2 linked regions of the Lepisosteus oculatus genome follow. The protein of the gene in region 1 purifies or fractionates together with the protein of each later gene. This does not show direct contact. Links are inferred from orthologs where the notes say so. Each region holds a gene or a part of one and is shown in the gene's direction. Other genes may lie near its edges. The genes, in order: hspa12b and eef2k.

What was found.
Region 2: the proteins of hspa12b (region 1) and eef2k purify together in Homo sapiens (affinity purification with mass spectrometry; 3 studies listed by BioGRID and IntAct, with this or other methods). This does not show direct contact. The link is inferred for Lepisosteus oculatus from reciprocal best matches to the Homo sapiens genes HSPA12B and EEF2K.

The regions. Positions count from the first base shown.
Region 1 is NC_090696.1:2,795,064-2,810,394, reverse strand, and holds the start of hspa12b (heat shock 70 kDa protein 12B), read left to right. Parts: upstream 1-7,576; 5' UTR 7,577-7,971; intron 7,972-15,331.
Region 2 is NC_090714.1:16,591,824-16,606,897, forward strand, and holds the start of eef2k (eukaryotic elongation factor 2 kinase), read left to right. Parts: upstream 1-7,884; 5' UTR 7,885-8,394; intron 8,395-10,818; 5' UTR 10,819-10,889; coding exon 10,890-11,126; intron 11,127-12,816; coding exon 12,817-12,870; intron 12,871-15,074. Other genes in the region: sdr42e2 (putative short-chain dehydrogenase/reductase family 42E member 2), read left to right, coding at 884-947, 1,486-1,559, 4,513-4,767. UniProt on the Homo sapiens protein: Threonine kinase that regulates protein synthesis by controlling the rate of peptide chain elongation.

The DNA.
Region 1 (15,331 bases):
TGGCGGAATGCGACCAGGCGCTGGTAATTCTAATTAAGGGCTTCTGGTATCTGCAGTACTTCTATTTCTTCTACGCTCATACTCTTCAATACTGTTTAAGTCAGAAATTTGCCACTCTGGCCCTATCAGGACTTTGAGATGCTCCTTATGTATGTGCTGCCTATCGAGCCACAGCTGTCCAGTGCAGGGAGTGGGTTAGTCCAGTGAAGAGAAGAGGAAAAGGGGTCAAACGCCCTTTATCCCCCTGACTGAATGGGAGCAGGAGGACAGAGCCCAGCGATCCCTGCTCCCAGACCCTGCTGAACAGTGAAGTATGCTGATAGCAGGCATTGTCTGGAATATTCTTCTTCTTCACTCGTCAAGCCTGTGCTCTGTCCTGGTGTCAGCCACCTCCCCTGCCCCTCTCATGTGGAGAGTTTATGGGCTGCAGCTCTCATCTCTCCAAGGGGCGGAGGGCCCCGATTATAAATCACAGCACGGCTGATAAGCTCCTCCAGTGGCCCGGTGTTACCCAAGTCTCCTGACAGCACACACACAGCCGACTGGAGTCCAGCACTCTCACATCATACCCTGGCACTGTTCTTGATTTCCTGATTTTTACTGGCCATCTGGAGCTTCAATTTCTTGGTGCGTGCATGTGTTAGTAAAAGTATGACATAATGCATTAGGCTTTTTTTAGAAAATAGTAGGGGTCACTCTAAAGGCAGAAGGTATTCTACAGCATGATTTAAGCCTGCTGTAATTATATACAGTATATATTCTTTGGGAAGCTATGAACATTGCAGCAGAGTTACTTTTTATCATCACAGGAGCTCAGAGCTGAAGCATTCCCTGCGTGCTGGGGCTTTGTGTATGTTAAAGACCAGGCAGTAAGGGTATGTCACAGTGTTGTGCTGTATGTCCACAATGCACAGCTTTGAGTCTCACTGATTGTGGTACGAAACTCACCAGCAGCTCAAAGAAGTTTGTCAGGAGTTTGTCATGTGTCTGGGCCCTGAATGGTCTGCTGGCGAGCTGGGCATGTTTTGCATCTGGCCTGCCTGGCTGTTGGGATGACACTGATCAAAATTCCTCAAGTCCAGTGCAAACTGAGGAGAGGAGACCTGAACTTAGGAGAAAAATAATTGTAGTGAGGAGGGAAGAGAAAGACAGAGGAACTACAAAAGAGTACAACCTCCTCTCTGAAGGGGTTCAGCTCAGTCTAGCACCGGTGTTTTTGCTGCTGTCTGGTTCTGTGGTTCCGGGCCTCGGCAGCTGACCTGAGGCTCCCCGGAGATGCTTGTCGAAGGCTGGAGCTGAGATCACAGCCCGTCCCTCTGTGAGCTGGAGCTCGACTGCTGCTGGGCTCCAGGAAAGGCAGGGAAGGAAATGGGAGAAACCGAAATGACACCGAGGCCAATAGTCATTTCACTGCTAGATTGTTACAGCTAAAGACAGGGTCAGAGAAAGGAGGACCTGCTGTGGAGGCATTCTCGGATGAAAGAAGACTGGGATATGAACCAGGTCTAACTGCTGTTCCTTGGCCAGCTGTATGTCCTTAATAATTCCTGCTCTTTTGCCTTTAGCCTCCATGAATTATAGCTGCTTGTATTAAACAGGACAGGGATTAGTTTTTAATTGCTGGACGTGTTTTATTCATTGCTCCCTGCAGCCCTGATCCCTGCACTGTGGCTCATCCGCTGACACGGGGGGTCGAATTGTCACTCATATGGTCACACTGTTCTTTCTCCCACAGGCAGCAATGTGTGTGTGAGTGTGTGTGAGCGTGCGTGTGTGTGCTTCTGCGTGTGCGAGTGTGTTTCTGTGTGCACACGTGTGTGTTTGTGAGACTGTGAAAGTTCGTGTGTGCATGTGTACCTATATGTTTGTGTGTGGATGTGTGTGTTGCGTCCGAGTGCGTGCATGTGTGATTCTGTGTGCGTGTGTGTGTGAATGTGTAAGTTGTGTGTGTGCATACTGTGTGATCCTGTGTGTGTTTGTGTGTGTTGTGTGCATGTATGTGCTTGTGTGTGCGTGTGCGTTTCTGTGTGTGCTTGCGTGCTTGTGAGAGTTTGTGTTGATTGTGTGTGTATGTGTGTTGTGTACATGTGTGTTTGTGTGTGCATTTGTGTGTGTACATGTGCGTGTGGTTGTGTGAGTGCACGTGTGTGTGTCTATGTGTATGTGTATGTGTGTGTGTCTATGTGCATGTGTATGTGTGTGTGTGCGTGTGTATATCTGTCAGGAGCTGAGTGGAGGGGCTGGGAAAGAATGCAGAGAGTTGGTGGACCAGGTGGGCTGTGTGTTTTTGGGGTGGGGGGTAGCACAGAGCTGCTCTAAGAAAGGAAATGGCTCGTTAATTGTGAAAAGGGGCCATAAGAATTCCTGAGATGACGTCTTCAATATGGAAGCACACATGGAATAACACTGGCTTGGTCAGATGAGTGCACAGGCCTGGACAGCCAGGGGGTCACTGGAAGTCTGGATGTAGAAGAGATGAACTTTCTCAGCTTTTCCCTACCAATGTCTCCTTTTTGAATTTTATTAAATTGAATATAATTATTAAATTAATCCCATGATTTTTAGAAAGCACTTGTCATCCAAAGGGATTAGGGATCCTCTTCATCTGCAACTGAAGAGCAGCCCCACCAGGTCGGAACACAGCTGCCACTCTGCACCGGCAGCCCCACTGCACAACAAATCAGGGGGAAGAGTAAGAAATATTATTATTATTAACTATAATGAATGAAAATAAACTTTATTTTTATATAGCACCTTTAAAGGTGGCTTCTCAAAGTGTTTCACAGAAAAACAACAATAAACAAAAAAATATATCATATAAACACAATGAAAATCTACAATGAGAGGACAGTAGATGGACAGTAGTAGAACTAGATACAGTAGGAGTAAAGCGGTATATACCAGAACCACTTAAGTAAAAGCCCTTCTGAAAAAGAAGGTTTTTAATTTAGATTTGAGTTTAGGGAAGAGTTTAGGGAAGGTGACTCTCTGATATCCTTGGGCAAAGAGTTCCAGAGCTTGGGGACATAACAGGAGAAGGCCCTGTCACCCATACAATGTAGACGGGCTTGGGGGACAGTAAGGAGAGCAGAATTAGAAGAGCGAAGGTTGCGAGGTGGGGAGTAGGACGATAATAGTTCAGACAGGTATTGAGGTGCCAAGCCATGCAGAGCCTTATAGGTGAGCATGAGGATTTTAAAGTCCACACGGAACTTGACAGGAAGCCAGTGCAAGGAGTCCAGTATAGGAGTAATGTCATCACTTGCACTAGACATGGTCTGGGTTTTGGCAACCGAATTCTGGACATACTGAAGTTTGTTCAATGTGGATTTAGACAACCCCGTGAATAGGGCATTGCAGTAGTCAATTCAAGAGAAGACAAATGTGTTGATCAGCTTTTCAGCAACAGCGATAACTTAGGAAGTAAAGGAATAAGTAAAGGAATAAGTGTCTCTTTTCTTTTCTGTGATGAAAAGAAAAGAGACACAACGTTTCACCCGGATTGACACCTGAAGAAGGCTCCACAGCCGAAACATTGTGTCTCGTTTCTTTTTTCAGCTTGCAACAAACCTTTACTTGTTTCTTTGCAGCCTGCACATGCTGACACAGCTAACTACCTGAACATAGTAAGTAGTGTAGCGATATTTCTGGGGTGAAGGAATGATGTTTTGACAATGTTGCACGTGTGGGTCAAACGTTACTCCTGACCCAAACATCACCCCCATGTTTTTCAATCTTGACTGAAACTCAGGTACAGTACCATCCGCAGATGGAGTTGCAGCATTGGCTTTACAAGTAAGTAAGGCGAGCAGTCAGGACTCTGTGTAATGTCTCATCTGCAGGGTGGATTTTCTTCTAAACAGCCCTAACGTCTGAAATGCTGGAACAGGCTGACTCTCGTTTCCAGTGCAAAATGTACTCAAAACAAACACAAGAAATATTACAAATGGGCGGAGGCCATCCAGTGCAGCAACTGATCCAAAGATTTGTCCCAGCTAGCTCCTGAAACCAGGGTAACAGTGTCAAGACAAGTGGAGGTCAGCTTTGAGACCCCCAACTTCATTTTCTCAAAATAAAAAGCTTAACTGACACATCTCTCTTTCCCATATCTATTTTATGAGTGTCTAGCTAAATTTTCGCATTTAAACATTTCGGAAAACATGAGAAAATTCAGCACACTTCGCACAAGAGCTGAGTGTGTCTGTGTGCAAAGTGTGCACTAGCAGTGGCAAAGCACTGCCACTGAGACACGGTTGCAGCGGACATCACCTCCAGAGCAGAGCTCGAGGGGGGCAGAGCCCTGTTAAGGTGGTTTACATTACAAACAGAAAAGTCTTTGAAGTGCTGCCTATGCGGGGCCCCAGGCCTTAATTACTGCTTCGTGTATGATGCCATAGGTAATGGGTTCCAGACTGGAGCCAATTTGATCTGGAAATATGACAAGCTCGGGAGCCTGTAAGCTGGAGGATTTTTTTCATAACTTTTTTTGTTCTGTAAGGTAATAGCAACCTTCTGCATGCTGAATAAGTTCACGTCCTCTGGCTGTCGGGGAGCTGGGTGTGCTTTTCATCAGTGGGGCTCTGCGGTGGCGGCAGTGACCCAGGAAGGCACAGGGAACGAGCACCTCAGCTGAGCACCGCTCCACACTCACTGAGAGCCCTTGCAAACTCGCCACGCGACATCTACAGAGCAAGTGTATGTTTGCCATGGGTTTTCTCTGCTTCGTATATCAATACCCAGAGCATGCAGCAGTGTGGAGCAGTGGGGAGTGGTCAGGTCTCTGGGCTTGTAGCTGAGGGGTTAGGGGTGGGGCAGGTGTCAGCAGATTGTTTCTGTAAAATGCCACACTGCTCTGATGGGGACTCCAGATCAGCAGTGCTCAGCCCTGTGTCAGTCCACCTGTGTCTTCTGGACCTTATTCCGACCAGGCCCTTAATCACCAGTGCTAAATGGTGTCAGTGAACTGATCTGATTTCTCATTTGGACTTTTAAAAAAACTTTCCTAGTGGAGTGGTTCTCCTGGTTCTGGGTAACATCTGTATTTTCTGTTTTTCTACCAGCTTTGTTCTTAATCACAGGCTAATTTATCTATATATTTGAAGCTTTTTTATTTGCTTTCACCTATTAAAAAGCTGAATGAGATGTGTAATTGCCACAGTACAAGCCTTGTGCTAATGTGTGAGTTTCAGGACTGTCCTCACTCAGGTGTGAGAGCTGGCAGCTAATCAACTGGACAGAAGGAAAAACACTGGAGCTCAGTGGGAGTGCCAGACAGTGTCCTTCACCCTGAGTCTGTTCACAGTCAATTAATCACCAATAAAAAGCTATTTACTGTAGCTAGAAATCCATTAGCAAATTCTTAATTAGCAGGTTGAGGAGAGACAGCAGTAAGCTCTGTGCACTTGAAGCTGTTGGAAATCCACAAATCTTTCTGTCTGCAAATGAGATACTGACACTGGTCCCCAGTAGATCTTCATCCAGCTGTTGTACCCAGGAGCACGAACGGGCTGGGTGACTGATGTGACAGAGCAGAATCCCAACTGGAAGTGGATCTGCACACTCAGGATTTACAACCAGTTGTGTGTGTTCAGGTGTGACTGGGGAATGAACACCGAAAAATAGGCAGTTGACAGCAGTAAACCTGACTCTTTATTTTTTAAATTAGAAAGGTGCTACCTTTTTCTTGTCTTTTCTCACTGTGACTGAGATGATTAGCAGTGTAGTTCAGTACATTGCATTAAAATTTACTAGGAGTCAATGGGATGTCCATAGAAAGATAGCAGGAGGATAAACATTGACTCAAAGGGGGAGGTGTCTGATTCTGTACCATTCACACTCATGTCTGTTCACCATTAACTGATTGCCTATTAAAAACCGCTTAGCTAGAAATACACAAGCAAATTCATTCAGTATACTGTACACACAGTATACCAACAGTATTTAAAATCTATGAGATATATATATATGATCTCATCAGATCTCAGAAGCTAAGCAAGGCTGGGTCTGGCCAGTAAGGGGGAGGGATTGGTGTTGGTGAACCAGTAGGTGGCGTTTTTTCCTCTGGACCAGAAAGTCCAAACCCATGACCCAGGGGACTCAGTGCTGCAGAAGGTGTTGTCCTTTGGGTGAGGTGTGAAACCGAGGTTCTGACTACTTGGTCATTACAAATCCTAAGGCACTTTTCGAAAGAGCAGGGATATTTCATCGTCCTTGGTAAACACCACTCCAGGCTTGTGCAGTCTGGCCTCCCTGAAGTGCCTTGTAGGTCACCAGGTGCTGCAGTTACTCTCTCCTGCCCGATCTCCCACGCAGTGGAGCTGCATCGCCAGGTGGCACAGCCCTTGAGTGGTGGAGGAAGTGTGTGTGCTATATTACAGCCAGCAGCCATATCACCCTGCAGCTCACAACTGGCAACCCACTGAAGCTAAGCGGGTGTGAGCCTGGTCAGTACCTGGATGGGAGACCTCCTTGGAAAAACTAAGGTTGCTGCTGGAAGAGGTGTTAGTGGGGCCAGCAGGGGGTGCTCACCCTGCAGTCTGTGTGGGTCCTAATGCCCCAGTATAGTGACGGGGACACTATACTGTAAACAGGCGCCGTCCTTCAGATGAGATGTAAAACCGAGGTCCTGACTCTCTGTGGTCATTAAAAATCCCAGGGTGTTTTCTCGAAAAGAGTAGGAGAGTAACCCTACTCTTCCCATTCCCTACAATTTCCCATTGGCCCTTACCAATCATGGCCTCCTAATAATCCCCATCTATGAACTGGCTTCATCACTCTGCTCTCCTCCCCACTGAGAGCTGATGTGTGGTGAGTGTACTGGTGCACTATGGCTGCCGTCGCATCATCCAGGTGGGGCTGCACACTGGTGGTGGTGGAGGGGAGTCCCCATTACCTGTAAAGCACTTTGAGTGGAGTGTCCAGAAAAGCGCTATATAAGTGCAAGCAATTATTATTATTATTATTATTATATGTAAATCACCCATGGATTTCACCTTTAGGATGAAGAGGACTATATTAATGCGATCGATGCCTGGTTAGTGACGTCTGTCCTCTTCTCCTCTTCTCTTTGATAAGGATCGCACCCTGCTCAGTGGATGTCAATGTCTCACAAAACAGTCAGATTCATCCTCTTGTGGACCTGGGCACACCCTCCTTCAACACACACTGACTGTACCTGTGTCAGTGTCCCAAAGAAAAGCTCTCTCTGATTATTTTATTAGTGAGAGAAATTGTGCCAGTTTGCTGTGGCAAACTCAGTGTGGGGCGGAGTGGGCAACTGTTTTTTTAGACTGGAAAGCACTGAGCAACAACAACAGGAAACTGTTTAAAAGGGCCTTTCAAACGAGGTGAATGACGGTGAGAGGAAGACAGAGGAGAAAGAGGGAGTGGGAGACAGAAGGAGGGGGAAGTGAAAAATGAGGGAGACGTGGGGAAAGAGGAGCCCTCTGCTCAGACAAAGGCACCGGGACTGAATTCACTCTCTCCGCCCCCTCCCTCTCTCACACACCCACAACACAGTGCTCATGCAGTCCAAGCCCAGCCTCCCCCTCTCTCCCTCCCTCCCCTCGGTGCTAGAGCTGCCGCCCGGGCCCGGCGCTCTGTGTGCCCGAGTGTGTGCGTGCTGGGAGTCCCTCTCCATCTCTCTCTCACATTCCACTGCCTCCCTGGGAGTGTCTCCGCCGTCCTCACTGCCTCCGCCTTGCGCTGGATTGCACAAGGAGCAGAGAGGCAGGAAAGGAGGAGAAGTTGCCCACGTTTTTAATTCTTCCTCCTGTTTTGTGTCTAGACTCTGGCAAGCTTTCCAGAGTGGAGCGCAACATCTGCTGTGTTGCAGGGGAGCTGTTGTTCTTTACTACACCAGGAAAGGAAGCTGAGCAGCATTTCAAAGGCATCTTCTTCTGTTCCTGAGTGGTGTGGACTTCACTTACAGCCCCTTCAGAGGACGAACGTGCATTATTTGAAGAGCGACGTGTGAGTACAGAGCATTTTGTTGTAAAAGAATGTAAAAGAAGTCAGCGCTCAGGTGTTTGCAGTTGTGTGCTCTCCTGGTGTGAGGAGGCAGATGTCAAATAGCTCTTGAGCAGGAAGAGAGTATTTCTGAGTGCTCCAGTGCTCCAGGGGTTGATTGTTCAAACTTGGCAAACAATTCTTACATTATTACAGTCCTTCTAGCTGGCAAAGGACACAGGAAGATTTACAAAAGCATTTGATTAATCGTATGCTTTCTGGGGTCAGAATTAAAAGGTTATTTTTATTATAATAAGTGTGTTTTCAAGTGTGCAAAGTGTTTCTCATAATAGTGTATCTTCAGTGTCTCATCCTTACCAACAAACCCCGGTAGGTCAGCAACAGGGGGTTTCTATATGCCAATCACTGCCAGACTGCACACACATTCTTCTGACAACACTGCTTGAGTGAGAACAGTGAGAACAATAGACGGCTTGCACAAGCAAAACATGTTCAACTTTGCTCCATCTTTTAAACTCAGGAACATCTCACACTCTCCACCTATGTCCTGCTCTGGTGGCCTCATTGTGTTTAGTTGGTGTTTTTGTGCAGTTCTAAATGGAAGAAGCGGTCGTCAGTTCTGCAAAGGTGTGCTGTGTACACATTGCCAAGGTATGCAAGAGAGATTGAGCTGAAACAACCTCTAGGCTAGAGATTGATGAGCTGCCTTTCTCTCTAGTGCGGGAGTGCTTAGCAATTTCTAAGCCTATAACTGTTAACATGGGTCCACAGAGAAGTTATTTTGGATAAAAATGGGTTCCCCTATATCCCGTATATATTATGCAATATGTGAATGTGATGCTAGTTTTTACAGAAGGTAATGAGAAACGTGCGATGCTCCACAATATGGTTTTTGGAAACAGGTGTGCTGTCTCAGAGAATCACGCGGTACACTGAGCAACATGTCAGATCCACGCAAGACAAGAAGCACTATAATGACTGAGTTGTGGGAGAGTCTGGCTGTTCCTCAAAAGTGCTGTTTAAGTCCAGGAGTGGAAGTCTATGTGCAACCAAGTACAGTAGGCAAAAAAAAACTAGGAACAGCGCCAGAATTGAGGACTTTCCCTGGAGTATTTCTTTGGAGTATCTTTGAGCTCTGCCTGGAGAATGACAGGACAGAGATTTTGTTTTCTAAAAATCCCACAATTTTGTGTTAACTACAACAGCAGCTGGCAGTGCCGTGCGGTGGGCTGCAGAGTGCGCCGGAGAAGTGACTGACTGCATCGCGCTGGAGTTTGAGTTTACAGGGGACTGGGGGAAATGAAAATCAGACTGTGGACCTATACAGAGAAATATGTGGCCCGAGCGTGTTGCCCTGGGGGGCATTTCTATGTGTTTGTCTGCTGTTTTAATTCTAAACCTGGAACCTGGTTTTGGAGATACCGGTATATAATTTCCACAGATGTTACTTGGAATCTGATATAAGAAACCCTACCCCCAAACATCCAGTGTATATTAGTGGGCCCACATGCGTTCTCCAGGGTTTATTATTAACAGGTTCGGAGTTCTGAGATCAAGAAGCTCTCCTTTCAAATTCAGGCTCTGAAAGAGGAGGACAAAGCTGTAGCATTGCTCGAGTAATGTTATGGAGTCTATGGAGGTCTGAAAAAAAAACTGTGTCTGAGCTGTAGAGATATTAGAGGGGCTGGCTTCAGACTTATTGACAGTGTCACTTTCATAGCCTCACCCTGCCTGGATGATGTCACCGCAGTCAGAGGAGGGGTGGAGGGAGAGTGGGACTGCTGCAATAGTAAAACCCTGTACAAATCTCTGCACAGCCTTGCTAGTGTTTTTAATAAACTCCCTCCACCCAGAAGGAGATTAGCAACACCAATCTGTATGGGGCAAATCTGGCTCTGAGCTTGCTACATGTTGAACGGACCAGGATATGATGTCATTGCCATGGGAGTCCCCCTGCAGTGGGAGGGCTGTCCCTTTGGCATAGTGGAATACTCCACTGTGTGGGGAGTGGTGCAGAGTGGCTCTAAAGTAAGAGGTAACCATGAGAGGTCATGATTGAGTCCTTATATACAGTATGCAAGGCTGTAGTTCTCACAAACATGCTGTTCCTTACCAACTGCTCCACATGTAAGATTTTTAGGAATCTTTTATTTTCCCTGTAAATTTCATTTTTGGAGATATGCTGTGCAGACAGATTACATCTTTGGGGTTTCCTAAAAAAGACTTCTGGTGGATAGTAGCTAAAGGTCTTTGCTCCAGATTCCTGCAATATTTTGCAGGACTTCTGCAGCTTTAGTTCTTTTGCATGGACTTGTACATGACAAAGCTTTACATGGTAAGAAATGTTGTTGAACAAACTTTTCACAAACCTGCCATGAAATGTGATGCATGCTATCCAAGTATTTAAAATACTCAAAGGCCTTACAAAGTCGACCCAGAGGATTTATTCTGAAACAGGAACCAGAGGACACAAGAAACTATGTGGAAGTACTTTTAAAACCAAGAACAGGAGGCATGTCTTTGTGCAAGTGGTTGTGGGAGTCTGGAACAACAAAATGGGGTTGTTCTTTCATACAGTCCAGCTGATATAAGCAGTGGTCCATCAGAAGGAGCATGAATACTTTGCCAAAGCTAAAAGGATGATGAACCTACTGCCTGCCACTAAGACAGAGGTGAGACAGACGCACAGCCTGAGAAGCGAGCAGTGGTGGGCGGGACTTTATACACCTTGTGCTTCTGCCTCTGTGTGAATCCCCCAGTGCACAGGAACACTATGTGCACTCCAGAAGACAACGCACCTGTGTTCTAATGGTGTGATGCACTGAGGCAGAGATTACAGAATAGTAAGAATTAATCACCGTTATGTAGCGACTTTCCACCCAGAAGATCCCAAAGCACTTTCCCTATAGGACAGATTCCACTCGATCTGCTAATTAAGTGGCCAGATTTTTCAAGCCCAGCTTGGAATTCAACTAGGATGTCGCAGTAGAAAACTCCGATCCTTTGAAAAGTGTCATGAAATCTTTAATCACCGCAGCCCGGACTATTCCTGAACTCTCATGAGAGGGACAGCTCCTCCTACACTGGTTTGGAACTTCTGATCCCAGGGAAAAAAAGAGGGAAGAAATACATCATCTTGCTTTTCCCTGGAGATTTCCCATCCCAGTACTGACCAGATCAGGCTACAGGTGGTTGCACTGCTGTTGTATATGAGTCAAATACAGGACACATCTGTGCTGCACAACAGTTGTATTATCTCATTGTAAAGGAGGCTGATTTGAATGCGGCAGCACTGTACAGGTTAGTTCCACACTGAAACACAGAAGGAAGGAACGTCACTCGAGCCTTTAGGTGTGAGGCAGTCCTTGTCTGAGGGCTGCAGACTCTAGGATTGTGTTGGTGAGAAAGTAGTTTTCTGACTCCTCACACAAACACAGGATGGAATAGAGTCCCACTGGAAAATCTGATTGAGCTCACCATCATCAGGAAGCTTGGCCCATGTGCGATAAAGAGCTTTTCTGCATCCACAGCATGCAAGGCTCCTGCTGTGATGTTATCCTTTTGATTCAATGGAGTTGTCTCGGTGTGATGGACTGTTGTTCCCTGCTCTGAGCAATGTTTCTGGTTGGGGGGTGGCAGGTGCAGATGCATCCTCTTAGCAACAGGTGAGAGACTGGGACAGCAGGAAATCCCAGAGGAATAGTGTCAAGAGCAATAACTGGAGTGGAAAATAGAGAGCAGCATGCGTAACTCCAAGAATAATTACTCCGGGTGTCTTCCACTATAACTGCCCCAGCTTGTCATGCTAGAAAGGAATGATTTTATTATTAGCAGTAGTACTTGAAAAAGGCTGACCCTACAACTGAATAGTCACCCAAGAGAATGAGTGTTATAAGAGACAATGATTTAAACATACAGTACAGGTAAGTAATGGAAAAATGTAGCACATTGTCATATTGTTATGACTTTTAAAAAGATGTATCATGTGTGATTTTTGTATCTACAGGCCATTTGCTAAAAGAATGGCACAGTGAATACTGACATCTGGGTTTTTTGTACAGGAGAGAGACAAAGGTCTCACTCATAGCAAAAAAAATGTCTTTGTGTTGCCCCTGATGTGTGGTGCCACCAGATTCCCAAGAATTGTGAATATTTTTCCATGTTCCAGTCATTCGGATTCCCCAGTGGTGCTGCGTCTATATGGAGCTGACTATTGGAGGCATAACTGTCCGGTTCCTGGTCTGTTCATGTAGACTCCGGAGGACTGGTGTCCTCCTGCAAGCCTGGGAGATAGTCTGCTGCTTACTGTTCACTTTAGCCTTTCCTGGAGAATGACAGGAGCACAGCTTTCGCATGTTCGGATGTGTGACTTCACTCTGAATCAAGCCTGCCAGCCCTGGGAGGGAGTTTGCAGGTCACTAAGTGGGCATGAGAAATGTGGAATCCAGCAGCACTGACTACACAGCTCTGTGCTTGGATTTGGTTATAATAGGGAGGGAAACAGCTAAAGCCTGGATATTCTGACAGGGACACGGTGTAAAGTACTTGTTGGAGTAGATCCAACATAATTTTCTCATCACGCAGTCACCTATTTCTTGGAGTCACCTTATAATAATAATAATAATAATAATAATAATAATAATAATAATAATAATAATAATAATAATTACACTTATCTAGCGCTTTTCTGGACAGTCCACTCAAAGCGCTTTGCAGGTAATGGGGACTCCCCTCCACCACCACCAGTGTGCAGCCCCACCTGGATGATGCTCCAGTACTCTCCCCACACACCAGCTCTCAGTGGGGAGGAGAACAGAGTAATGAAGCCAGTTCATAGAGGGGGATTATTAGGAGGCCATGATTGGTAAGGGCCAATGGGAAATTTGGCCAGGATGCCGGGGTTACACCCCTACTCTTTTCGAGAAACGGCCTGGGATTTTTAATGACCACAGAGAGTCAGGACCTCGGTTTTACGTCTCATCCGAAGGACGGATATATTGTATATAGATTTACTCTGGGAAATGGGGGGATAAATTCATCATCACAGTATACCAATCCATAGTTCAGATCTTGATTCTCTCGGACGTTGCTTACCATTCCTAACTGAGGGAAAGGGACTCAACCACCCACCTCTGGGAATCGAGACTTCCCATCTTCTCCTGAATTCCTGAGACTCACAATTCCCACCAGGATACTTTCAAAAAGCCCCTCATGTTCTGTTTCATGTTCCGCCACACTGCGCTTCTCCCACACTCTCTACCAGACAGCATCGGTTCCCTGCTGTTGCTGCCAGGAAGAAAACATGCAGAGAGAAGATAGCTCAGAAAAGTTATTGTGTGTTTCAAGACATTCTGCCACCTGCAGCGCGGGCAGGGGTCTCTATTTTTTACAGACAAGTGTTCCAAAATGTGACAAACTAAAAAGTGAATGTAAGCAAAGAATTTGACAAAAAGGGGAAGAGGGCCTTGCAGTTGATTTCCTGTTTCTTTGCTGCTGAGTGAGTCACACATTTCCTAAGTGTTTGCTGCTGTGCAAAGGTCTCAGACATCTTAGAAACAGTCAGGAGGTACAGGATTACAAGATGTGGTGTGTGTGTGTTGAGTATCAACAGTCACTCACAGCCTTCACTAATGCTTCATACAGTTGTAACAGCTGTGACTGTATGTAACACAGCGCAGTTTGGGGAAAGACACCAACCTTGTCATTCAGCACCTTTCATTCGCATAGATCAGAATCTGTAGAAAATCAGATCACAGTAACTGAAGGTGAACTGCACACGAGCAACAGAGGAGAAGTGTTATACTGAAGGACGGCTTTTTGTGCTATAAAACACAGATTGGGATTAAGTGTTGTCATGAAACAGGATGTCTATAGTTTAAGGAGAAGATTACCACAGAAATTGTACAACAAAAAAACAGTAAGCAGTTTACTCCATATGATCAATTATGATCAATTAAGAACCCTTATACATTGTTTTAGTCTATGATCCAGATTATGTCCTTTACTGTCATGTAAGCAGGCCAGAGGACTCTGAATTCACAGTGCTTCCACAGTCACAGATAAGACCAGGAAGTAATTTGCAGGGGTGATAGCACGGGGCTGTCTGTTAGTTAAGATAAGTCTGGGAATCATGCTTAACCCCGGCCCTGCCTGGCGCTGGAGGGGTGAATGCTGAGCCACACCGTGATTCTCAGTTTCAGCTGAGAGTCCTGCCCTGCATCCCTGGCTAGCAATCTCCCTAGAAGTCTCATTTGGGCTTAGATAGATAGATACTTTACTGATCCCGTGAGGGAAATTGCAGAACAAACTGCAAAGAAACCATTGATGAAATAATAATGTTGCTGTTACTGCTATCAATTATCATTGATTATCTGCAATTAGTTAAGTGATGTAATTAGGTATGCCTTTGCTGGTGTAGCGCTGATGTCATCGCCCTCCCTGCGTTTAGCAGGGACCTCAGCCACCTGGGTTTGAGAGCACTGCCCACCTGGACAGCAGATCATGTGATCAAAGAAAACGCAAGCAGAGAGAGCAAGTCTCCTAACACTTGTTCAGGCCTTTGTCATCAAGGTTGTGGAAGATTTTGTTTCCTGATGTTCTAGTAACATTTTTCAGCTTTGCAATGACTTGTGTCCCCTTTATGTTATTCAGGTGTGGCCATACGTTTGTGTTACTTTGCCATTCTAAATAGCTTACTATTCTCAATACGAAATTACATTGTTACAGCTATGGGGGGTGGCTGTGGAGGGGCAGCTCTCGGGATTTTCAGACTGAGGTGTTTGCTGAGCTGGGGTTCTGACGCACATCAATCGAAGAAATTGTCCGGTTTAATTAAGTTTTGGGTAAATACTTTCAACAGCCCAGGACACATGGAGAAAGAAATAGGAGTCCCGCCAAGTGGACCTTGTTAAGATCAACGCAAAGACCAGATCTGAGTTCTGTATCTGAACCTTGTGAAGAGAGCTTGCCATTCTGCTGTTTAGGACATTTCCTTTATAGAGAATCCCTTGGTTAAAGATGGTCTCTCCTGGCTTTTTCATAATAGGAAGATTGGTTTCCCTTTCACTTTGTAGCTACCGGATTTATAGGAAGAGAGATTTAGCTCTGGGTTTGAATTTTGTTCTTCTTTAGGGTACAGGTTGATCTTTCTTGTAGGCCTGTTAGGCGGGATATAGGATTTTTGAATATTGGGTAGTAGTCTAGGTTTTTCTGGATGGTCAGGAAACAGGCCTCTTTGAGGCCTTGTTTGTAAATAGGATAGCTTGTTTCCATTTCCTGCGTTGTGTGTTGTTTCACACTGACCCTTATTGTTATTGTCATTGTTACTAATTCTGTTTGTTTCTCCGGGTCTGCCCGACTACTC
Region 2 (15,074 bases), on another chromosome or scaffold:
GGCATGAAGTAACACTAGGATTATTGTAGGCGTTTTAGCGACGACATCGCTGTCGGAACTCTGAAGGATATTCATCCACCTTTATTAAACAAGGGTTCCACTCTGAAACATACTAGGGATCAACAAAGCTGTTGTGACAGGTATTATACGATCAGTAGTTCAAATATAGTGTTTATGACCTCATTGTGAGGTGACCAAATAACAATCTCTTTTTAATAATAACATTTATTTTACATACAGTAGCACGTTCAAAGGGAATCATTTCTAAGGGATTCACAATCCATAAAAGATTTCTGTCTCCGAGAGCTTGGCTCCTGGATGCACTTCTAGACCGGGGAACCTTCTGAGTGGAGTCTGCATGTTCTCCCAAGTGACACACACACCCCCCCCCCATGTGTCCACCTGCATATAGAATAATATGAATTGGCGATTATGTTTTTTTAAAAATGGTCATTAGCCAAGCAGTATTCCCTCATGTAGAAATGTTCTTGATATAGCACGAACTCCTCTTGAATGCCTGTGCATTTCAATCGGTAGTTTCACAATAGGAATTTTAATGTCTGGGTTTTGTATTGTTGGATGTATAGATGTCCCGCTGTGCAGTGAGGGCTCCCTGTGTTACTGAAGGTAATCTGTGAATGACCTTGCTATGCCAAGGAACACCCCCTAAAATGAGCCTTTATTCTCAATATTCAACCCCTCCTCCAGGCTAATTTCTTCTCATTTCAAAATCTATAGCATCAGTTCAATGCTATGTACTGTTAAGAAAATCTATCAATGTAATGCTGTGTGTGATGTGGTTAACCTTTATTTGAAATGTCATTTCTGATAGGAGGACATAGCCCTAATGCTAACATGTCCTCCTGCCTTGGTTTCCCTTCAGTTTGAGAAGCTGGGCTACAGCCGACCTCTGATACACCTGCCCGTCTCCCTGGTGTACACAGCAGGTACCCCGCCCTTCCCTGCAGCGCCGCACCTGGCAGTGAGGGGGCACCTCCGGGGCTGGCTTCGGTTCCGGTGCCGAGCCTGCACAGCTCAGTGCGCCCTCTGGCTGCACCACACCTAGCTGCCCAGCAGGCTCGGCCTGTGAGCATGCCGTCCCAGGGCCTCCAGCAGGCTCAGCACTTCCTGCCTTGCTCTGTGTTTTTGGTTATGAGATTTCACCCCATGGGTAAATAAGTAATGTCTTCGTTGTTGATCTTACCCTACTGAAAGTTTGCCACTCCATATTTGCACATCCGTTTTGCCCTCTCCCTGTGATTTTACCGTCCAGAAATTACACTTTTACCTTGCTTTTACCTACGCGCCCCCCTCTACCGTGATGTCCTTCTGTCCCCGGCCTGTCCGCGGTCTCACGGGGCTGAGCTGCCTTTGCCCTGCCCCCCCCGCGGCACGCGCGCCCAGGTGCGGTCCTTTAGCGCGTGCGTGGCAGGAAAGGGGATGAGCACCCGAGACTGAAGCGCCTCTGCCGCTGCTGTGTTTCAGCCATCCTGATGGAGTGCCTGCACGTCGCTCTGAGGCCGGTGGTTGGGATCCCTCTGCTCTTCACCAGAAACGAGGTACCGCCCCCCGCCAGCCCTCTCCCCAAAACAGGCTGACCCAGGGGTGCCTGTCTCCTGTCCTGGGGGCCTCCTCAGCTGCCACCCCCACGTCATTAAAGAACACCCCAGGCCTGGGAAAATAATGACGCTCATCTAATTGGGCAAAATAATTAGTCTTATTAAGGCAATGAGAGCTCGGGTGGGAAGAAATAACAACACAGGAGAAGACTCTCGAGGACTGGATCTTTCATCACACATGGTATCTTATATCTCTTTTATTTCAGATAACATTTTTATAACTTTTTACAGTGCACTTGTATGCCCACAGGTGCTCAGACTTGCCATACTCTGGTATGCAGTGTGCATTACGCAATATGCCCCACACCTGACTGTCACTGTGTGGAGATTTCTGTCACTAATTAATCTCCTCGTTAAAAGGACATCTGTGGGCAGCAAAAGGCTGTTTTGAAGTGGTCCTTATGAGGGAACTGCCGATAACTCTCACTCGGGGATCTCAGTCTTTCTCACTCTGCGAAGACTTGCTTCTCTTACTGGAAACTAATTAAGAACGAGCAGAGGTTTTTAATTAGTGGCACTTAAACAGGCTCTTAAACAGAGGCACGAACAGGAGAGGTTGTCAGTGTTCTAGGGACATCCAGTCCAGTCCACAGCCTCATCAAAGCTGTTTGTAACGATTAAGCAGATGTAGTTACATTCCTTCATTCTTTCCATCCGAGGTTCGAGCAGAGGGAGAAAACCAAGCATCCTAGCCAGCACTGCGCTGATGCGCCGGACAGCTGAGGACAAGGGGCCACACTTACAAACTGCTGTGGTTATTAGCAGAGCCTTCCTAGATCTCCGTATTGATAAGAAACGAAAAGGCTTGAGGATTCTTTTTTTCGACGATCAGAAACTCCTTCATTAATCCCTAATGAGAAACTCAAGACATGGTCAAAGGGGCAAGTCTAGCGAGGCGGCTGTAAAATTGATGATTGTGTTTAAATAAAATATGAGGCCTCATTCATCGCTGCCAAAAGCCGGCCGAGACGCAGGCAGCCCTCTGTGTTTTCACAAGGTGATACTTTCCTAGCGAGAGGCTGTAATTTCCTTGAGGTTTTTCACCTGACGAGCTGCAGCGCTTCTGCAGGTTGTGAAAGCTGTCTGTATCAGCTGGCGGCAGAGTCAGTCGTGTCTCATGGCGAGGGTGTATTATACCAGCCCTTTACTGCAACAGCATTACGTGCGTGCAGAACAGAATGTAGAGATAACCAGGCTTAATTATTCATGCTTTAAGCAAATACCTTCATCTTCTGTTCTTGTGAAGCTGAAAGCGAGGAAAGCTTTTAGAGGGATGTATTGACATTTTTAGGACTGTAATAGGCTATTAAAATCGAAATTGCTCACAGAGAAGTTATGAAACAGTGGGTCAGACTGACACGCTGATGCTAAGTGTTTTAAGAACTCCACACTGTCCCTTTCCAGAGCTCAGTCAGCTCTGGAGCTCCTGGTTATTGAGCAGGGTCCCAGACGGAGGGCTCTAGGGACAGCTGGAATGCTTTTTCTACCAAGAGAAAACAGGCAGCTAATTGTACCCTGGAACCTGTTAAAATACACGGATACAAGGGATTCACTTAACAAGGAAGCGGAGGAATGCCACAGGATTTTAACAAAGAATTGGGCTTTTTTTTTCCAGCTGTCATGTCAGTGGCCTCCCCTTTCACCTTCTCCTGCCCGGATTGTTTGTTTTAAATAAGAGCATAATGTCCAAACACCCCAGGTTTCCTCCAGTGATGTCTTTGATTTGTTTGAGTTGCCTCTTGCAATACTCCAAAACTCGAGGGGCAGACAGGAGGGGTAGAAAACAGGGGCGGGTTGTACTGCAGGTGCCTTTCTCTGTCTGCCAGGGACCTCAGAATCTCTCCGTCTCTCCCAGGATTAAACATGCAGCAGGTGCCCCAGGTGTCTGACTTGCCAGAGCCCTGCCTGCCTGCATTATCGGTGTAGATTTCCATACAGACACGCAATCCGCTGTGCAGTAAGGGGATATCGGAGTTCCGATGGCGTTCATAAGTCAGCCACTGCCACGCTTTTTTTTAATGTTCTTAAAACAAGCCGAGCCACGGTTTTCTGATCTTTTGGGGTGCCGCGATTTCTCCTGCCAGTGCCCCCGACCCGGCCAGTGACGGCACGCTGGGCAGCAGGGGGCGCTGTTTGAATTTGGAAAAGAGTTGAGAAACAACTCGGTTGTCAGCGCAGCAAGTTTGGAATCGTTGAAAAGAGACTGTTGTCATTGCTGATTATCCTTTAAAACATGTACTGTACCTTAACAGTCGTAGCTATTCATTTAGAAACTTTTCCTGTGTTTGTTGCAGTAAAATCTGTTTCTAGTGCGTTCGGAACTGAGACACGTCTTTACACAAAGGGTTGTGGGTGCATGGAGTAAGCTACTCAGCCATGCCGAGGAAGCACGACAACATTGTTCTTTCAAGAAACAGCTGGAAAGAGATCAGCTGGGCCACTTTGCAAATAAAAACCTAATGAATCTGATCCGCAACTCTGACGCTCGTTTTCAAGCTTTGTGTGTTTTCAAGGGGGGGGGGGTTTAACCTTTAAAACCAGGCACTACAATATAGATATGAACAAAAGCAGGGACTTAACGAGGCCTTTGGTAACCCAGTGAAAATGTTGGCGCAGGCTGCCCTCTGGCGGTGACACAGTGTTTCCCGAGCCGTGCACGGGGCTTGACGGTGTGACCCCCCGTCAAAGAGGTATGGTGTCACCTTCGAAAGACAGTGTTCCCCGAATATTATGGGGGTGTTCGCTGTGCGGAGTCGGATCTGCAGTTTTATGGGATAGTACTCATAGTACTAGTACCTAGCACCTGGGCTGGTTTCATACCCTAGTGCGCGCCCTCGGCCCGAGTGTGAGGTCTCAGCAGCAGAGCGCCTGACCTGCCCCCCTTCACCCGCAGGTGAGAAACATCGCCGTCACCCACACCTTCAGGATCGACAAGGCGCGCCGGCAGCTGGGGTTCACGCCGCAGCGCCGCGACCTGGCGGAGGCCGTGGACGGCTACCTGAAGACCCGGGCCCGGAGCCCCCGCCGGCTGCCCGCCTGCCTCCGGGCGGCCCTGCTCCTGGGCGGCGCCCTGGCGCTGCTGCTGCTGCTCTCCTGCGCCTGGGGCGACCTGGCGGCGCCGAGGAGTCTCAACTCGACCCGCCCCTGAGCGGCGCCCACTTCAGATAGGAGCTCTTCACCAGTCCGAGCTAACTGTGGAGAGGTTTTGTTTCCGAGTGGGCCGGCAGCCCGTCTCGCATTCTCTGACGGACCTCGACGCTGCATCAGACACCAGCAGTATTCAGAATCTTAATGACTGAATAAGCCGATACTTCCCCATAGCTAATGTATTGACCAGTGCGCTCAGGGACTTTACAAAGCGCCCTGACTTGAGGGACACGCTAAGTGGAAAATTGGGGGAAGATCTAGGGTGTTTTATGATTCTGGTCACAGGATATGATGACGGTGGGGGTTAAAACGGTGCTGTACTTTATTCTCTTTTTGCCCAGTTTCACCACGATATTAAAGTTTGCAGTGCATTCTGTATGCACGTTTTCTGCAACTTAGGAGCATTGCAGTGGGGTGCCCGTTTAGTCCTGATGCAGAATGTTGTGGGCAGTAACACCGATTTTATAACAGTGAAACTGGACAGGCTGCCATCATACCTCAGTTGAGTTTTGACCTCTTAACCTCAGTTAGCGCTCTACCTGAGGGTATCTAATCTTATTTTAGACGCAGAAATGAGTAGAGTACTGCACGGCACATGCTGGCTCTCGGAGGCCCTCTGGCGTTCATTCCGCGGTACAGCACCGCTCGGTCTGCATGATAAGGACGCCGCGGACCTGCTGAAGTTCAGTTCGCTCGATCTTGTCTATGAGCCCAGAGCCAGTGAAGAGCGCTAGAATGTTGTGGCAGGACCTGTAACAGCAAATGCAGTTTATAAATGCAATGTATGCAATTTTTATGTCCTTTAAATTAGTGACGGAGAATTTGTAGACTTAAAGAAAAAATTGAAAACTTGTCTTGCACAATTTTATAAAGGGTTTCTAAGCAGGGGTGGCTCCAGAAATAATTATTAGGGGGTGCAGTGTTAGCCAGTTAGGAGCGGAGCCACAGTGAATATTTAGTTTGAATGTGCTCTGGTGTTTGCTGTTATAGTAGTTTATCTCTGAAGGCACTAATGTAGCCAGTCCTGCTTATTGAACAGTGTTTTATGCACGCAATAACAAGGGTTTCTGGGGAATTATTGAAGTCCGCACAGACTGTCACAGGTGATTCTGAAGTCCTTCCAACTGATGTAAAGCTCCTTGAGCTCATCTGTAGGCCTAATGTCTCAATTTGCCCAAGTTTCTACCCTGTCAGTAGAAAGAAAACATCTCCGCAGTCTGTTGCTGTGAGGAGACCAGGAGTGCTGCCGTTTTTAGCTCCCTAAACTTCTCTAGTCTGCAGAAAGTAAGACGTTTGTTAGATTTAAATCTATTTTACAAAATGCTTTGTATGAAACACTTGTAACTAGCCCGGATGCCAATGCTGTCTTTGTAATGGAATGGTAATCCACGCGCTTGCTTTTTTTACTGAGACACATTATTTATGGTAAAATGGGTTTGTTTTCTTTGTTGCATCGTGCAGTTTCAGCCTAGTACACTTTGTTTCCCAATTTGGCACAAAGATACTGTATTTTCTGAAATATAATTTGTCTAAAAGAGTGCTTTGCATCTAGACATTTCTAGACCCTGTAGCACCAGGGATATCAGATGCTCACGGGCTGTTTAACCTGAGCCTTCCTTTTCTAACAGCACTGTTGCAAGTTACAAGCACAAGATACACCTGACCTCATGTATAACTAATCAGCAATAATTGTGAAGGCATTTTATATGTGGAGATTGTTTGTAAATGACAGTATACATTAAATGAAGGATTCGAGTGGACAGCGCTGTGCCAGTTCAATGTGTTTCATAAGGAAAGGTGGTGGTGAGCTGACACCTGTTTGTACACTGTGAAGGACAGACTTTGAAGCAGGCAAGTCCCACTGTGCTCCAAGTCCTGTATACTGTGCTTTACACGGATCAGCCAAAGCACTCCGAGGTTATAGAGGCCTCGTATAGAAGGTGATCCGCAGTAACAACAACGACCCTGACCCTGTCACCTCAAAATCAAGCATTACACGACCACTCGCTCCTGTGGTGATATTCAGCATGTAGTTTTTACCCGCTGTTCAACATCAAATTTTAACCTTCTTTTTCTGAACGCTGGTTGACCATTTTGGCTCTGTTAGCCTTGGTAGGAGTCTTGAGCCAAGATGGCGGCCAGCCAGAGACGCCTTCCGACGACGGGAAGTATAGATTTCATCACGGACACCTATATAAATATTATTTGGATGCTGAAAATACATTTATGAAACTTTTAATTTTGGCTTTAGATAATAAAACAATTAACTTTTTGACTGCATTAAACGACAGACTTTTTTAAAAGCGCTATGAAGCGAGAGCCACCTTGTGTCTCAAAAAAATAGCAACGAGAAAAGCAGGAGCACAGTTTGCACTTTCTTTGTGAAAGAAAGTGTCATATATACTGACAGACGCGTCAGCATATATGATGTTTTGTGAGATTGTGGATATGTACTTGGATTTATCGTGAATTTAAAGGTGACCGTGTATTGTAAAATATTTCAGGAAAAGGCCGTTAGACGGTATAAAGCCATAATTCTATGATAAAATGCGATTTTGCAGGGCTGAATAAATACTAACGGGGTATAGGCAGTGTTTGACGGGAAATTCAGAGATGAGCTGAATAAAATATACTGATTACTCTAATTTCTGTCTCCCCCTTCAATCGTGGTGTTTTAAACCTGCTTTGCAAGTTCGGTAGCTTTGTGCGGTTCCCATCACGTAAAAAATGAAATTTGACAATGAATTTCATTCCTATCATTTTATGTTATTATATATGATTTTTTATTTATTATTCGTCAAAACCAAAAGACGGAAAAGAAACTCTCATGTGGCAGCGGTGGGATTCGAACCCACGCCATCGAAATGACTGGAGCCTAAATCCAGCGCCTTAGACCACTCGGCCACGCTACCCCGGTAGCAGTTTCTCTGCGGTATCACTGACAAACCTGCAGCAACATTCCGGCCCGCTGACGCAATGTGCAACACGGCGCTCGGAGGACGTGTGTATTTAGACATGTACAATTACACACGAATCCCCTGCGCGAAACTGAAGCGCTCCCACCTCCCGAGAGGTAAGGTTTGAGCGCCGCATCAAAGGCAACGCTGCATGAAGAACGCAAATCTAGAGCGCCGAGGAACAGAAATGTCCTGTGCCCCTCCCAAAAAAAAATAAATAAACACCCGTACTGACAAACGGACAGACGAGGGGAGGTCACATCTGCTCTTTGAATCGTCCGGCGAGAGCGACCTGTTTGTCAAGACTTCACACCCCCCGGGGGGGGCGGCTGTTGCGCCCGGTGGCCACCAGGAGGCGCTCTGCAGGCTGGCGGCGTGAGAGTCTACGTGCGCCGGGGCGCTGCAGCAGTGGAGGACTGGGAACAGAAACCTGAATCCCCTCCCGTCGAGGATACACCCCCCCCCCGTCTCCCCCCACGGGCTCTGTCTGCAGGACAGCTTCGGGTTCGGGGAGCCGTGTTGTGGAAAAACTCTTGCAAGAGCGCAGCAACAGGGCGGCGAGCAAGACGCGGAGTGAGAGACACGGACAGGCTCCCAGCCTTCCTCCACACAGAAGCACACTCATCGGCGCGTCTATGCATCGGAGGCCAGCTCGCATTGTGCTCAGTAAGGTGGGCTCTTTTACAGTCATTTCCCTGAGCGCTTGTTTATACCAAATCCGTCTGCACGGCTGTGGCCCGGCGAGACGCGCTGCGTGTTTTTTTCTGTCTTGTGACGGATAAGGCGAATCGCTGACAGGAAGCCTTGCGCTTCTCCAGCGTGGTTATGCCCGTTTCGTGAAGAACACTGGTGTGTGTGTGTTTTTTTTACAAATATATCATTCTGAACCGTTTCATTGCGGCCAGTCTGGGCTCTGCGAGGGGGGTATTTCAACAACATCAACACACAAGCATGGAAACGCGTCTTGGCCTGTAATATACTAATCATTGCTAAACTTGTGGCGATCGAAGCGGGGGTACCCAGTTGTTGTTTCCCGCTGTGTGGGGTCGTGCATTTTGTGTTTTGGCTCTCGGTGACTGCGCCCGTATGGGAGCCCAACACTTGGTAAACACCCAGTCCCGCTGGCTGATCCAGCAGACGGGCTGTTTCCTCTCGGCTCCGAGACCCCAACACGCTGGGGTGTGAGCTGCTGCTCACTCAAACCTGGCGATGCGGTCTGGGACGTTTTATCTTCTCCCTGTCCGGTGTGGCGATTCAAAATAATTCAAAGTAGTTCAGGTAGGGGGCTGCGTCAGCATGCAAAGAGACACAAGGTTTCGGCTGTGGAGCCTTCTTCAGTGACACCTGTGGATTAAACCCCTCACAGTCTCTTTCTGGTGTGGCCCCGAGTGTGCTTTGCATGAGGGCTTTCCTCTCCCCAGACAAGGGGTTCGCGACAAATGGATCGGAGAGTTCGGCCCCAGGGCAGCTGGAGTTTCTGCTTGGCATTGCACAGACGGGCTTGATGGCAGTAGAGTATGGATTAAGCGTCCCGCGTTTCACGCTGAGCGCCAATGTGGTGGCGTTTTATATCGGGGCTGATCCGAGCTCTGGCTGAGAGGAAAGTCGAACCCCTGTCCCTTGACAGGCTGACCCGGCCGTCGTGCGGAATAACGTGCCCACGCCTCACCTCTGGGGTGACAGTGAGAGAAATTCATGGGGTTTTACAGGGCTGTAAACTGCTCAAGTGTCTGTGTGGTCCCTGCTGGCCCAGGCAAACACTGAGAGCAGCACCTGGTGGCTGCTTGTCTTGGGAAAGGGGCTGGACTTGACCCCAGGGGTCACTGTGCCATGTGCTCTCATGAGACAGCTCTCCTCTTTCTGAGGTGCCGGTTCCCAGTGAGAGCCTGCAACCTCAGCTGCTGGCGTGTTCAAACCTCACCTCTGTACGGCCGTAGTGTGTAATTGAGCGTCCTGCTGTGTTTGACTGGGTCAGTTCACTGCGCGCTTTCTGCTCCTTCTTTTTGCTCCGGTGCGTATTACACCAGTGCTGCTGTAAAGCGCTTTTGAGTTGCTTTTCAAAGAGATCGGAAATAAATTGAACCGTTGTGGTGTGCGTTGGTTGGCCCGTCCGCAGTGGAGCATGCAGTCCAGAGCAGAGTCCCGGCTACTCTTAACCCAGGCTGGAAGTCCAGGCACGAACCTCTCTGTGTCTTGATATCAGCAGAAGAGCAGGGGGAGCCTTCAGTCAGGCCTCTGTGGCATGGCGCTGTGGGGGAGACAGGAGCTGAGTTCACGGGAGGTCCTTTAGTGTCGAACTGGAGGCTTTCTTAAAGAAGTGCTTCTTGGAAGAAGGTTGTCTGCAGAGCTCGGAATGTGCGCTGTGCTGTCACGTGGGGCTCTGTGGGCATTTCCATATCCTGCCCAGTCCTGCTGTGCCAGGGCGCCACTGGTGTGTGTTAATGCTGTACGCTAGTGTGTGCTTGACAGCCCAGGGGCCCCCTCCTCTCGCTCTGAGCGGAGCCCAGGGCCGGACAGCAGAGTGACGGAGCCAGAGGTCTCCCAGCTCGCAGACCAAGCCTGATGTGCAGAACGGCAGCCTGCGTGTGTGTGTGTGTGAAGGGGGGGCGGGGGGTGTCCCTCTCCAGGCTCTATCACAGCAGCAGACCTGTTTAAACTTCACTTACGGCTCTTGCAGCCTTATCAGCTTCTGGAACCGGGTTCAGGCTTTTTATTAACCTGAAAGAAGCTGCTCCAGGAGGCAGCTGAAAAACAGCTGTCAAAAGTCTTGTTTTGAAAGCCCTTTGCAGCTGTGTCGGCTGCTTCATTGAGATAGCGTGTGTTTGTCTTAAGAAACGAACCTGCTGAGGAAACGTGAACGTCTGCTTCATGCCTGACCAGGTTGAGGAAGGTTTTTTGTGTTGTTTTGCTTGGATATTCGTACGCTGAGCCCGAAACTGTGCAGCGGGAGTCTCCCAAGCTCCTGGGAGGTGTAGCTGTGGGGGAGGACCTCACTGGGGGTCGCTGGGGGTCGCTGTGCTGGCCGCTGTCCCTGAGGAGGCGGTGTGGGGCCGCGCCGGTGACCCCATCTCTGCTCTGTCCTTCTGTCCCCGCAGCTGTGGCCAGCGTGTGGAGAGCCCTGCAGAAGCGGAGAGGAACCCAGGGGTGCAGCCGGTGACCAGCCGTGATGGAGGAGGAGATGATCTTCAGCATGGAGGAGGTGGACAGCGCCCGCAGGGGGGGCAGGCACGCCGGCTCGCTGGAGGACCCCGACAGCGACGAGGAGGACAACTTCTACATCTGCCCCATCACCGATGACCCGTCGGAGAGCCAGGCCAAGAACATCTGCAACTACCTGAAGAACCTCATCCACAACGAGCAGTACTCCTCCAGCGCGTCGCCCAAGAAGTCCTTCAGCTTCAAGGTGAGCTCTGGGCAGGACAGAGGCCTGCCTTCTCCCTCCTAGCATGAGCTCAGAGGCACCCTGCTGAAGCCTCACGTGTCTGCAGCTTTGAGCTGGTTCCCTGTTCTCTGTAAAGGAGAGACTCCACTCCTGGCTGAATTAAAGCCAGATCCCCTTTCAAGCACACTGATACTGTGGTGAGAAAGTTTTGCAGGGGAGAACTAGAGAACTGATTGAACTCTGTAATCTACTAAATTACATGCAACAGCACTGTCTGCAGACATGTCTTGTTTGTTTTTGTTTGTTTTTAGCTGCTAATTGTTTTTGCTTTGTAAAAAAACTGGCTGTTGTACTGTGAGGTCCTGCTGGGTGTCTGACCTGCTAAAACCACATGCACGCTCGCTCTCAGAAACCAAGCCCCTTTCATGCTAAAAGACATTATCTGCTTCATGCTTGGGTTTTTGCTTTCAGCATGAAAAAAAAAACAAACTTTAACCTGTCTCTAACATTCCACAGAGTGTTGTCTTATTCATAGTCAGGGCACTGACTAGAGTATAGCTCCCTGACTCTTTATTTACATCGCTGTAGGCATGTGCTCGTCCAGTCTCAGAGACAGGCTGCAGCCTCCTGTCACAGTCACAGACAGACGCTGCCTTATAAGGCACTGAAACGGACAGATGGCTATGCTGAGTGTGTCAAGGGCTGGGCCTCTCTGGCTCCTGCCCTGGGCTGCTTCGAGCCCTGAAGAGGAAAAGGAACAGAAATAAAAACAAATAATAAACTGCTTCCTCTATCTCCAGTGTTGTGCAAACAAGATCTGTTATTCTTTTTTGTTTGTTCATGTTGAGGGTAAGGGAAGTTTATGTGTGAGGTGCTGTGTTTTTTTTAAAACAAACATACAGTGCAAGAGCTGTGCATGTTCAGTTTTGCTACATTTCTCACAAGTGTAAATTCCAAACAAAAAGCTTTAAACTGTGCACCTGTAGTTCAGAGCTGTAAGACTTGCCTTCTCATGCTGCATTTCCTGCAGGAAGTGATGTCATAATGCTCCCTTCCCCCGGTGACCTCAGAGCAGGGTCAGGGGGCGATCAGCCAGTGTGACAAAGGGGGTTGTTCAGTGTCAGATATCCCAGATCACGCCTCCAAAATACATGCTCTTGGCATTGGCCCATGTGCCTGACCAGGAGGGGGAACCCACCTAGAGGATTGTGATTATATCATTTCCTCTCCTTTGAGTTAGATTAATCTCTTTTAGCCGTTTATGTTGAGCCACCAGGTAAGTCAGTTGAGAGCAGACTCTCATTTATCCGACACCCTGGAGGCCCATTCATACAGGAGGATCCTGCTCAGGAGAATCATAGCAGAGTCCCAGGATTAGAAGCCGTACCAATCCAGTTCAGAGCCCTGACCAGTCCTCTGCCCGGCTACCTTAACCTATCTTTGCTTTTTTCAGATTAGAAAAAAAAGTCATAAAAAGACAATTTACATCTGAATCCCTCTACTGGGGGGCCCAGAGGTAGCAAAGGTGTTTTTGATAATATATGTGAATTTATTTAAGCAGATGTTCTGTAAAACAAGGCAACAGGACAAGGAGTTTGGAAAGATGCAGAAGACTTTCTCCTGAGCTAACTGTTCTTAAAGTGCTGTTTTCCTCTGTAGCTCATTAACCCCCACACTGCCTCTGCCTCACTCTTTCCCATGTGTCCTGTAGAAAGAACCAGAGGCGCGATCTGTCAGTTTTGGGGTGTTGTCTGAACGAGGTCGGGTAGGTTCCGCCTTCACATCGAAATCCACCTTCCCGCCATCGCTCCCATCCCTCTCCTCATTCTCCGTCCTCTCCTGATCCGTTCTCCTCCTCGTCTCTCCTCTTCACAGGCTTCCCCCCACACACTGCACCCAATTCTGTGCAAGCTAACTCTCACAGCCCATCAGACGGGCTGGGCCTCCCCCCTCTCCTCTCTGTTTCTTTCCTGCACAGTCTTCCTGTCTTCCCGAAACCAGGCCAGCTGTACTGTGTATTGCATGGCTGCAGGGTACAGCCAGAGCAGAGCTTCCTGATCCCATTGACTTTTCTTCTATCGATTGCTTTCCCTTTCATCTAATGAAGACAGTACTGATCAACTGCCGTGCTCAATCAACACAAGTGCTCCCTCGTGCTTCTCTTAATTAAGTGTGGCCTTTTAAGACTGTTCCATTGACGGGAGCTGCTGAACTGTAGACGTCCTTTACTGCCGTAGCCTTATGGCTTGTGCTTCTGCCAAGTTCTCCCCTGTGCCCATCTTTCTCCCCCCCGCCCCCTTCGATTATGGCTTGGTACTTCCGTGGAAGAGAACAAGTTGGCTTTCCTGCTGGTCACAGAGTTCTGCGACGCCCCGATTCCTGATTGGGCGTCTGTTCCGTTTGTGTGCAGGCGGCGGACTGACCAGTCAGTGCTGCGACAGTCAGCTGATTGTGTTCAGGATGATTTTGTTGTTGACGGGGTTACAAAATCAGACAGGCTGGGGGCTGTGGAGGTACGAGTGCAGAGTCCAGTGGCAGTGGAGGCAGGACTGTGAGAGTCAATATTATGAAGTGGGTGTGTTGGTTGGACACAGAAGTTACTCTGCACTCCTGATCTCTGTGCTCTGGATGAGCAGGTGGTTAGGTTGTCTGTCAAGTAGACCCAGGTAGGGTACCTTCTCCCCAGTGAGAGGACGAGGTTCTTCTGCAAACTTCACACCTGGTTAAGCCCTTTCCGTTTTCTGTGTCTTCTTAAGTATTGCATTATTGCATGCCGATTCCATCTCTAATGTACACTTCTGTTTTAGAGCAGCAGGCGATCACAAGGATATGCTTGGTGTTTCTGCAAAGCTTGTCTTTTCATTGCCTTCTAAGCCTGTCCAGAACTTTGAATTATCATATCCCTGTGAAGTGAGCATTCAGGCTGTGTATCGCCACCAGTGGTAGGATATAGCCTCCTGCTCCAATAGTTATTTTAATATTTTGAATACAATCGAAAAAAATCTCAAGACCTACTCTAAAAGTACATCTTATTCCATGTTTGAACATTTCTGCGTCCTGATAACGGCCAGACTTTGAGGTGTTGGGGGTTGTACAGTACTTGGCTGTTGCCCACACAGTGACTGCCATTCTGGGTGTCCTGGGAGGTGGAGCACAGTGAGGTGGGCACTTCACCTTGGCCCTGCGCCCAGACTAGTGTGGACAGAACTGTATCTGAGAAGGAAGAGCTTCTGAACGAAGCTGCTGTTGAACAGATTCCACTGTGGTCACTCGAGTCTGATTGCAGTGTGTTTACAGGGAGAGAGCTAGCAGTAAACAGCAGATGCTAATCTGTAAAGCCTGAGCCAATCAAATAAACGCAAGGAGTTTGCTTCTCTTAATGCATCAGTTTGCCTATGTAATGTGCCTTAGATATTGTCAGATTAGGTTTGTGTGGCAGTTACATTTAAAATCCTTATAATTTAAAATCTGTGTGGAAAATGAGACAGGAAAATACTAACGGATGAAAATTATTGAGTTGTTATTTATAAAAGAAGTGTCATGTTTTTGTATCGTGTGTTTTGTATCCTGTTTGCATAAGCGCAGTAGAAATTAGACAAAGCAGGGGTGGGTCTGATCCTCTGCAGTTTCTAAAACGTGAAACGGAGTAGACTGCTGTGAGCCAGGAGTCTGCGTTGTGTGTGTTCATCCAGATGGTTAAGGACCGGAGCTGCTGGTGAATGACAAATGTGTCCCTGGTAATGACCCAGCGATTTTGTGGTGCCACGCTGTGCCAGCCAGTCCTTGGAGGCAGGGCACTGGGCATCAAAACAGATGCAGATGGGCCCCTCTTTACAATAAGAGGGTGTCAGAAAACAATGGCACTGTATCTTGCCTGGATACTTGTGTTTTGTGTGCATTATGGTCTGCATTCTAAATGTCCAGCTTCTTTGGATGTAAAACCACACAAAAGCATACCTCAGTGGACAC